Linked DNA regions of Caenorhabditis elegans. The protein of the gene in region 2 purifies or fractionates together with the protein of the main gene of each other region. This does not show direct contact. Each region holds a gene or a part of one and is shown on either strand. Other genes may lie near its edges.

Region 1 (6,317 bases), 8.2 Mb from region 2:
AAAAAAATTCGCACTGGCGAACTTTCAACTGTGAATAATCTCATTTAAATAACCGCGCTTATAACTCCAAAATCCACCCATTTTTCCTTGCTGCTTTATGTCTACAATGAATTTACTTAATGTCCAAAACTTAAGGCCAGCATATGCATTTTGAAGGAAGCAATTTTCTTTCCATGATACATTTCTCTGTGGCTTAAAATACTATAGATTATTATGGATGAGAAAAAATCTATTTAAAAACACCTTAACTTTCAATTTCATCCCTAATGTTCCTCCAATATGAAATGCTCTCAAACCAAATAAAGTTAAACATTTTACGCACTCTGGTTTTTTGTTCTCTTACTGATGCATTTCAGATGTAAAACGGAGATCAGTATATATAGTACTCATTAAAGGTACGAGACCATGCAGGTACTGTTATTTTTCGCAAAAAAATTTTCCTCAGTTGGTTTTTTTTCCGTTCAGCAAAAGTTGCAAAAAATAGTTTTCTTCTTCTTTCCAATTTTACTAGATATACTGAAATTTAAAATCTATCCGAATAAATGATTTTCTGGTTACTTTCCCCCCAACATTTAGTTCAGAAACCCAAAAAAAACGTATTTTCCGTCTTGCCGTTTTGCATTGAAAACAGAAAGAGAAACGCGTATTTTTTCGACACACTCAGACACATACACACAGACGCACACGAGAGATGTCAACAAATAACGAGTCGGAAAAAGAGAAAAAAAGAGGACGGCTGGAGAAGACCAATGCCTCGTCAGAACGAGAGAGAAGAGAAAAAGAGAAACAAAGGCACTGCATTTTACGACTCGCCTTTACACGACATTTCATCGACCAGAAATTTATTGGTTTTTTGCTCGATTTTTTGTAAGTTTATCGTAAAACCTAACTCGTAATACGTATAATAGATTTTGTAATAAAAATGCATTGCAAGGTTTATTTTAGTTGTAAAATTAAAATGATAAAATTTGTGCCCGTAAACTTTCAAAATAGTTCAAGACTTCACACCACTTGCCTTTGAATTTACGATTAAACAGATATTATCGTACTAGTTTTAGTTTCTATCGCTAATGTCTTTTTAAACGTCTTCATTTTTACGATGTAAATGTTTTCAAATTTTTTTTTTAATTGACGGCATTTTTAGTTAAAGTTATCTAATTTTTTCTCAGCTTATTATGTGTTTGACGGAATAGATAGAAATGATTTTTTGTAGAATCGAATTTTTTGTCTCAACAATTTTGGGCATGTTGAAAAACCGATGTCGTCAAAATTGTTTTGCTTTATTCGTAAATGATTTTGAAAAAAATGTCCATTTTCGAAATTACTTCCAATTATTAAATGTAGAGTAGCGCCAAAGTGTTCGAAATTAATTTCAGGACCCAAATATAGTAATGAAACTTCTCAGGAACTTTTTGAAATGTTTTATCCACTGCCTGAAGGTATTTACTATTTTGCAAGTCGACTAGATGTTTTTAAAATAATTTCAATTTTTTTACTTATATGTATTCAATTATTGTAGAGATATGATGCAAGAATTCTATAAGTTTAAAATATTTGACAGGAAATTTTTGAATGATCGAGGCAAAAAATTGGGGCATTTCCATTTATCGTTAAGACATATTTTGTGTTCGGATCAGCTCGAAAGTAAATTTTTCGAGTTTCTCATGTTATTTGCTGTTAGTTTGTGCATTTTCAGAGCTCCCACGTCAAAATGGCATGTTCTGGAGCGTTTTTGGTCTAACCATATGTTATGACGACCACGCATTTCAATTTATCCTTAAGACACACAATTTTTCAGATCAAAATAATGGTGAACTTAAAATATGACGATTATTTTACACCACTCGTTGATGGAACTCGATTGTGCAAGATTTTGATTGGTTCCGGTGATAACAAAACTGTTTGTGGACATCCAATAAAGAAACAAAAGAAATCAAGTGAGTCATTTTATATCTTCGATTATTAACTCTACGATTTCAAGGTACAAGTGGAATATTGTATCACTTAAGAGCAAATCATCCGGATACACTTCTTGAAATTGGTGGAAGTCTTGAAGTTCAGCCATTGAAAAAGCGAAAGTTAGGCGAGGAATGGCGAATTCCAGAGAATAAATCTGGAACTGAAGGAGATTTTATCAACTGGACAGCAGAAGATTTTGAGGAAAAACGAATCAATGATGCACTGATAAATATGATATGTCTTGATGCAATGCCACTCTCAACATTAGAACGTCCTGGAATACAACACTTTCTGAATGAAGTGTGTCCTACATTTGTGCCAAAAGGAAAAAATCAAATGAACGTAATGGTACATAGTCTTCATTTCAAATACGAGCAACGTCTGAGAGAAGAACTCCGAAATGTGGAATATGTTGGACTAGGATGCTATTCATGGAACAAAGACGATAGAAAAAATGAACAAGTTGTTGGAATCAGCTGTCATTTTATGAATTCTGATGGATCAATTGTTACAAGGTTTCTGGATGCTATACATATTTCTGATCCTCATGAAGATCCTGAATTGGAGATTGAAAATGCAATCAAATCCATTACGGATTATTATTCAATCGGAAACAAAGTTGTGGCAATGATTAAAGATGGAGTCTCAAACTTGAAGCTTTCTGCTCAATTGCTAGAATTTGATATATACGATTGTACATGGAATAGTCTCTCACTTGCCTCTATTTCAGGAATTAACACAATTCCAGGAGGAACTGAACTTATTGAAAAATGCAAGAAAATCGTTCAAAAAATCAACGAATCGGCAGTATATGAAACGAGTTTAATTGGAGAATATATGACCATCGATTCAGCTGATCTTGTCAAATCCGGCAAGTTGAATTGGATTACTGTCGTTAGTATGTTTGAGCAGTTCACTAAGTTGAAAGGACTACTCGATACATTTTTGATGAATGACATGGAAGGCCTGATGCTCTATCAACAAGATTACGATCTTATGGAGATTATCCTGAGAACACTGTCTCCCTTGAAAACTGCCGTCGATTTTGGAAAAGTTAGTTTATGATTAAAATATATCCTTTCAAATTGATGTTACAGCAACACACATTCCGGATTTCTGCAATAATTTCCTTAATTTCTGCATTGATTTCAAAGTACTCGGCAGAACACTCATATGATATGTGCAAGGCTATCAAATTGACACTTGAAGAAGAATTGAAAAGATATCTCCAAATTCCGACACTTTTGTTTGCAACTGTTATCGATCCAAGAGTAAAGGTTAGTTTTGTTTAAAACTATTTAACATGCAGGTTGAGGTCCTTGCCAAAATTTCAAAAAATTTTAATACAGTGCGTCCAACTTCTATAGCACCCCCCTCCAATTCGGCCGTTTGGAGCTTTTCAAAATATTTTTTTTGGAAAAGTGTTAGTGCAGTTCGATAGCAAATGTTGAAAAACCTATGCTCCCCAATTTTTATCATGATATCTCAAAAATCACGGAAATTAGGTCAAAATATCTGAAAAATGGCCGTCCAACTTCTATAGCACCCCATCTGATTTTTGACAAATTTCTGTAAATTCGGGGGTTTTCTTCGTAGTTAATGAATTTATTTTGTAAATCACACCAAAATAATCAGGTGGTTTCACTTTCACATTTAAAAAATAAATATAACCCTTGAAAACACGTGGAATGCCTGGGATTGTCCTGGAACATACTTATTTGCTTCAGAGGCCATATCTCGGCTCCCAATGATTTTCGCAGCACCAAAATTGATCAAAATGTTCTTCTCCGTCTATTCATTACTATGTAATTAGTTGTAGAAAGCATTTATTCATATGAACCAAATGGTAAAGGGAGCAACTTCAGTGGTTTTTAAAAGGTTCGTTTTAACCATGAAAACGAGCGTTCGCAGGCGCAGAGCTGAAGGTTTTGACTTTGTATGGTACAGAATTTCAGCTCATATGATTTAAATATCTTTGAAGCTTCGATTTTGATTAGAAGTCTTTGAAATTTTATTTGGACGAGTTCACGAGACCGCTCAAAAAAGAGGACAAAGGCAAAGCGAGGCCGCAAGTCTTTTTTTCAAGCTAACATGCGAAAATTTTAGACAGAAAAGTAAGATATACCTTTCCGAATGACGATTTTGCTAGTTGTATTTATAACTCAAGTTAAATTTAGCGAATTTGCTCATTGAATCTTTTTTTGGTCAAGTAATGCAAAAGCTACCAGACAAAACATTGAACCTGCGATTGTAGATGTCTGGCATCTGATTTACCCATGGATTTCCACGGATTTGTTGTTCATGTAAAATAATTTTTAATTTTACCTATAATGTAGTAATTTTTAGTCAAAAATGTATACCCAACCATTATCTCTGCGCCTCCGAACGCTTGTTTTCATGGTTAAAACGAACCTTTTAAAAACCACTGAAGTTGCTCCCTTTACCATTTGGTTCATATGAATAAATGCTTTCTACAACTAATTACATAGTAATGAATAGACGGAGAAGAACATTTTGATCAATTTTGGTGCTGCGAAAATCATTGGGAGCCGAGATATGGCCTCTGAAGCAAATAAGTATGTTCCAGGACAATCCCAGGCATTCCACGTGTTTCCAAGGGTTATATTTATTTTTTAAATGTGAAAGTGAAACCACCTGATTATTTTGGTGTGATTTACAAAATAAATTCATTAACTACGAAGAAAACCCCGAATTTACAGAAATTTGTCAAAAATCAGAGGGGGTGCTATAGAAGTTGGACGGCCATTTTTCAGATATTTTGACCTAATTTCCGTGATTTTTGAGATATCATGATAAAAATTGGGGAGCAAAGGTTTTTCAACATTTGCTATCGAACTGCACTAACACTTTTCCAAAAAATATTTTGAAAAGCTCCAAACGGCCGAATTGGAGGGGGGTGCTATAGAAGTTGGACGCACTGTAGATAGAAGTGGCTTCAAACAGTAAAAACATGTAATTATTTAATTTTAATTTAATCACCAGACACGAAATTTGCCAATATACCAAAACTTTTTTTTAGAGAGTTTCAAAATACAGTTTTAAAAGTATCTACTTTTTAAAAGTAATGTTGAAACTAAAAACTGCACATTTTGTTGTTTATAAAAAATTATTTTGCAGTTATTATTACTGCCTGCGACAGCAAAGGAAATTGTGCAGAAGAAACTTGAAAAAATTGCACAAAATATAAGGAATGCAGAAGACGTAAAAGATGTTGCAATTACTCACAACCAGCATTGTAAAACTGATGTTCAAAGCAATTATGATCTATTCGCAGAGTTGTTCAAAAAATTACACGGAGAAAATTATCAGAATTCTTGTAAAGAGGGAGAGATCGTGAGCCCACAAGCAATGGCTAAGACAGTATGTTTCTTTCAGTGAATATTTTCGAACATTAATTGATATTATTCAGGAGCTAGAACGATGGATTTCGGAGCCAAACATTGCATTTGAGGAGCCTATAGTGTTTTGGCAAAAAGCAGAAAATCGAACTAGATATCCTCTTTTATTCCAACTCTCTTCAATTGTATTATGCCTACCGGGTGCTTTGTTGAATACTGAAAATCTTACTTCCGCTAAGAATCTACTTTTCGAGCATCAAATTGGCTGTGAAGATCAAACTAATCAGAAAATATTATTCCTTCATCAGAACATGAAATTAATTGGTATTCTATGATAATTTATCTAAAAGCTTGTTTTCATTCTGAAATGCATGCTTCAATGATTGTATAATTTCCATATTGAATTTGAAATTAATATTTACTTTCTTTAAAATGACAAAAATAAACTATGCATTTTTATTTTCCAAATGAAATGAATACAACTAATTAATACAATTTTGAATGGTTTTACATACATTTTAATATTTTGTCCAAATAATTTAATCGGTCATTCGATTTGTATGAATCTTCTTAACAATCTTCTGGGTGTGATTATCATATCCTTTCAATTTGTCATCTGATGCCTCAATATACTTCTTGATGCGATTTATTCGCTCCTGCCATTGTTTTTTCAATTCGTCACTAGTGGCTTTGTCAAGTTTTGGATCTTTCAGTTTCTGCTCGATTTCTAATTTTTCAGTCCGCTGTCGGAAGAATTTGTTCAACTCCTTCTCATATTCGTCACCTTTCTTTTCTTCTTGTTTTTCAAATGTTTCTTTCTGAAATATGACATCTATTCTCCCTTATGTCCACTAATTCATTTTTGTGCTAAAAATATAAAAAACACAAACCTCAACAGATTTCAGCTCACAGAGAAGTCGGAATTTCTCTTCGAAGTCGTTCTTCACTTCAACAGAAACCATTTTGTTTTTATAGTTTGGCTGTAATGTTTTTTGTTAA
Region 2 (4,962 bases):
GCGCTACAGTAATCCGGATTACATTTATTTTTTGATTTTCCACATTTTCTGCGCATTATCAGCACGGTAATCAACAAATTTTTGCGATTTTCCAAATGTTTCACTCAAATTTTAACATTTTTATGCGAAATTGCGTAAGATCCAGTGTATCGGGGTACTGCAGCACGGTGTTTGCGTACTTTTGAAGCTACCGTAACTCGAAAATGTGGAAATTGAGCTAGAAGTGTCTAGTTTTGTGAGTTTCGACTCAAATTTGACCAGGAAATCGGGTTTGTGCTCAAAAACTGACGAAAAAAGAGATTTTCATGAATTTTGGGCAGTTTATCAGGAAATGTCGTAATTTTATTTTTTTTTTCCAGAATCTTCCATGATTTTTCGCCTTTTTTGCAAGAAAAATCTTGTAAAAACGCAATTTTCGGATTTTTTTCTAGAATTTCTGGGTTTTGTGCAATATTGCGTAAAATCCAGTGTATCGGGGTACTGCAGCACGGTGTTTGCGTACTTTTGAAGCTACCGTTACCCGAAAATGTGGAAATTGAGCTAGAAGTGCCTAGTTTTGTGAGTTTCGGCTTAAATTTAGTGAAAAATTCGATTTTGAGCTCAAAATTTAAATTTTTCATGATTTTTGGGCCATTTTTCCTAAATTTTTACCTATCTCCAACCGGAGAATTCAAATAAGCGGCAATCAAAATGGTCATTGCAAAATGTTCATCTCCCATCGAATATTGCTCATAATTTTTCAGCAAATTCTCGTAAAATGGCATAAAAGCGTCCAATCCGGCGACTTTTCCGCTCATTCGGAGTCCAATTTTCGCGTCTTTTGCCGCAGCCAAAATATATCCGTTTAAAATGCGATGAGCACACTCTGCGATGACGTCATCCGCCAGAATTTCTGCTCCAATCAGAAAAACTTCCGCGATGTGAACGTAGAATTCGTTGGGTTCGGCGAACGCGAAAAACGCGGATTTTCGTTCAGAAAACAGCAAGAGAGTCCAGAGAAGCGAGAGACGGACGATTTCCACGTCATCTGGGGTTACTGTACCGTGGCGGCGTTCGACTGCGTCAAGGACACGGCGAACTGGGATAAGTGTCCAGCAATTGTCTAAAATTGGGTTAAGACCCTTGCCGAACTCGTAGATTATCGATTTTGAGGAGGAATCCTGGAAAAAATTGATTTTTGAGAGGTAATTTAGCGATTTTTAGCAGAATTTATGGGATTTTTCTGAAATTTTTTTTTTAATATCCTGACAAAAATAGAGATTTTTCAAAGAAAATTTCAATTTTTTATAAAAAAAAAGAGAAAATCTGTGTTTTTTTTTTGTTGGTAAATTATCGATTATCCTGGGTTTTTTCTCCAAAAAATCAATAAAATATTACTGTAGCAATTTCCTCCAAATAAAGTGTCTTAATTTGATCGATTGATGAGCGTGCCAGTTCCAGAATTGGGTCGGGTGTGCTGAAAATTAGAAATTTTAAGTTTTTCGGGGTTACTGTAGCTTCAAAAATACGCAAACACCGGATATTACGAAATTTTGCACTAAAATCAGATTTTCTTTGAATTTTTGGGTTACTGTAGCTTCAAAATTAGGCAAACATCGGATTTTACGAACTTTTACACGGAATTTTGACTTTTTTAAATTTTCGTGGTTACTGTAGCTCCAGGAGTACGCAAAAAACGGATGTTACGAAATTTTGCACTAAACTTCGATTTTTCTGAATTTTTGGGTTACTGTAGGTTCAAAAATACGCAAACATCGGATTTTACGAAAGTTTGCAGTAAAAATCAAAAAAAAAAGGTTTCTGGTGTGAAAAAACATGGGAACCCCGCATTTTAAGTTAAAACTTCTCAGAGAACCCAATTTTTGGCATGTTTTCACTGAAATTTTTCGAATTTTCCGGGTTACTGTAGCTTCAAAAGTACGCAAGCACAATTTACCTTCCCGCAGAGGTTTCCGGTCGTAATTTGCAGTTATCGAAGAGTTTTACGGCGTTTTTTTGCTGTCGAGAGACCAAATTTCGGCCGAATTTCGCGGTTAGATCCAGTTGAACAGCGTCCTGAAATTTCTCAGATTTTCCATTTTTCACGGAAAAAAAATTTAAGCCGAAAATTTCAAAAATGTCAATTATTTTCCAGAAAACCTATAATTTTTCAGAAAAAAATCGATAATTTTCAAATTTTACCGTCGCCAGTCGATTATATTTCTCCTGATCCTCTCGATTTCCATATTCTTCCAAAACTTCCAACTCATTCATCATTTCCTCCACAACTTTTGTAGGCGGAGCTTGAGCCGGTGGCTCCGGAGCACCTTTTTGCTCATTTTCCGGCTCTTTTTGCTGCCGAGAAGCCTTGAATTTGCTGATTTTTTTGGGCTTTTTTTGAGTTTCCTCCGAGGCTTTATTTCCTCGATTTTTCAAAAATTCCAGCAATTTCGGATCGAATCTCTCGGTAATTTCCAGCTTCATTTCTTGAATTTTCTCAAAATCCAGAGATTTCAAATATTTCTCGTTTTCAGCTTGAAAATCGTCACTTCCCGATGGATTTTCAGTGGTTTCCTGCTTAAAATCCAGATTTTCCGCCAAATTTCCATTGATCCGGTCGAATTCCGCGGCGAAAAAGCTCTTTCCGCCTAAATTCGTCAGAGTTTTTGGATTTTCCGCCGAAAAATACGCAGAAAGATCCAGCGGCTCGGGGAATCCGTCATCTTTCGAGTATAATTGGAATTTCTGAAGATTTTCCGCCAAAATCTCCGATCTTTCCGCGAAATTTCGCTCTTTAACTGGGAAAAGCACGCCGGAAGCGGCCTGCTCCTCATCAAAATCGATTTGAAAACGGGCGGCCTGATCGCGGACGACTTTCGACGGCAATGAAGCAACTTCCTCGACTTTCTGCCGATTTTTCATCTTATGAATCTCGACACTCGGTTTTTTGTTCGCCGCCTCCCATTCTTCCTGCATTTTGAGCAGATCATCGTCGGTTTCCGTCGCCGTAGGACGTTTTACGTGTTCTGACATTTCTGAAAATCTAAATTTTATCGATTTCTTACGAAAAAATGCTGAAAAACACCCGTTTTTATCGATTTTTCCATTACAATCGGTAAAAAACCTGATATTTCAAAAGTTTGCGCGTCAAGTCTGTCGCCGGGTACGCAGACACACCATCACGTCAGATTGCACATTTTGAGAAAGAATTCTTCAAAAATGGGGAATTTTCGATTAAAAATCGCTATCATGTCTATAAAAATTGGAAGTTTTCACGATTCTAACGTAAAATTACTGGAAAATCTAAATCTCAACGATTTTTCGATAAAAAAAAATTCAAAAATAACACCGAAACACTGGATCGGACTTAGTATGAGCTGAAGAATATTTTAAAATAGAACTTTTATTGACGCAATGAAATTTTAACGATATACAGCACTAAATAGAAAAAAATCTTTTGCAATAAGACCGGCTTTATGTGAAATTGAATAAATTTGAAATGGAAAATCGATCAATCTGCCCAAGTATCAGTGGATGTAGACGGCTGCTGGCACGGCTCAGGAAGTTGGAAAATTTCTCGCATTTCCTCGGCGCTTTTCCCATTGATACGACTGGCGACTGTTTGGGTTCCATAATTCACGAGTCCGGTAATATCCAAATCATAGGCAGCTTTAATAACAGCTAGCAAGTTTCCCATCGGCAGTACACTGAAAAAATGTTGATCCCAGGACGGAATGACGACTTTCTTTTTGCCTTTTTCGGCTTTTGCAATCTCTGGATCGTCTCCCTTGTGTTGATCACACCATTTAATCAGTAGATCCAATGTGTATTCATGTTCATCAACAGGTATCGGCTTAATCTCCGCACAGTCTTCTTTATCATATCCTAGCTCTTTGATAGTTGTAGAAATAGTGCTGGAGAGCTGGAGAGCACGGATATCTGCCTGCAGCACCTCTCCATTGGAAGAAGCCAGTTGAAGTAGGCGAGGTGGTGCGCTTGGAGGAGCCGGCTTTGGAGCACTAAAAAAAGCGCGATTTCTGATTTTTTGAGAAAAAATTGCTGAAAAATAAAAAATTTTTAATGATTTTTCAATGAAAATTGGGAAAAATGCTATCAAAATACCTGGCTGGTGCACGTTTTTTATTGTTTTTCTTGTTCTTCGGCATCTGCTTTCTGGCCCAAATTTGATGTCTGAAATACACAAAATATAGGTTTTTTTAAAGTTTTTGTGTGAAAATTCGAAAATTTTCGATTGAAAATCGATATTTCAGCAATCAAAATTGGTAAATTTCCCGAAAATTGCTTAAGAAATCCTGTTTTTATCGCTTTTTCGCTAAAAACGTTTTTAAAATCGAAAAAAAAAATATTTCGAAAGTTTGTGCGTCAAGTTTGGCGCCGGGTACGCAGACACACCATCACGTCAGATTGCACACTTTCCAGATTTTTTTTGAAAAAAAAGTAATTTTCGAATAAAAATCGATGTTTAAGCTATTTTTTTTAACAAAATAATAAATCTAGATGCAATTTATTCAACAAAAAACCCTATTTAAACATAACAATCACCAGAAAACAAGAAATTATCGATTATCAATCAAAACATGGGTAGTTTTCGGTCGCCGCTTGTTCTCCACATACAAGAACCGCCACTGCCAATCTCCGTCTCGTTGCTCCATTTCAGCTTGAGCAATTCCCTCATCTCGGTCTCCTTTCACGTGGAAAAGCACCCGAATCCGCTGCATTCCGTCCTTCTCGTACTTGTGATGTGCCACGTGGCGGCGGCGTCCACGTGACGTTTCCTCGCCGAATCCGGCGATTGAGGCGCCGAATATTTCCTGACAACGGCCATCATCACGTACCAATGCGAGAGCTCTGCAAAAAATATTTGATTTAAATTGGTTTTTCCCGGAAAAAAGTGAAAAACCAACTTATTGAAAATTGTCTGCGGGGAATCTTGAGCGAAAAATTCCCCGGCGAGCACATAGA

What was found.
Region 1: the proteins of F56B3.4 (region 2) and C53D6.6 fractionate together in Caenorhabditis elegans (co-fractionation; one large-scale study listed by BioGRID). This does not show direct contact.

Annotation. Positions count from the first base shown.
Region 1 is NC_003282.8:9,027,137-9,033,453, reverse strand, and holds C53D6.6 (HAT C-terminal dimerization domain-containing protein), read left to right. Parts: upstream 1-1,798; 5' UTR 1,799-1,807; coding exon 1,808-1,937; intron 1,938-1,981; coding exon 1,982-3,012; intron 3,013-3,056; coding exon 3,057-3,236; intron 3,237-5,097; coding exon 5,098-5,340; intron 5,341-5,389; coding exon 5,390-5,653; 3' UTR 5,654-5,774; downstream 5,775-6,317.
Region 2 is NC_003282.8:791,262-796,223, forward strand, and holds the start of F56B3.4 (RNA polymerase II-associated protein 1 N-terminal domain-containing protein), read right to left. Parts: upstream 3,015-4,962; 5' UTR 3,013-3,014; coding exon 2,182-3,012; intron 2,056-2,181; coding exon 1,937-2,055; intron 1,457-1,936; coding exon 1,378-1,456; intron 1,161-1,377; coding exon 652-1,160; intron 1-651. Other genes in the region: skr-18 (Skp1-related protein), read right to left, coding at 3,491-3,998, 4,102-4,145; F56B3.11 (Mitochondrial import inner membrane translocase subunit Tim21), read right to left, coding at 4,557-4,848, 4,905-4,962.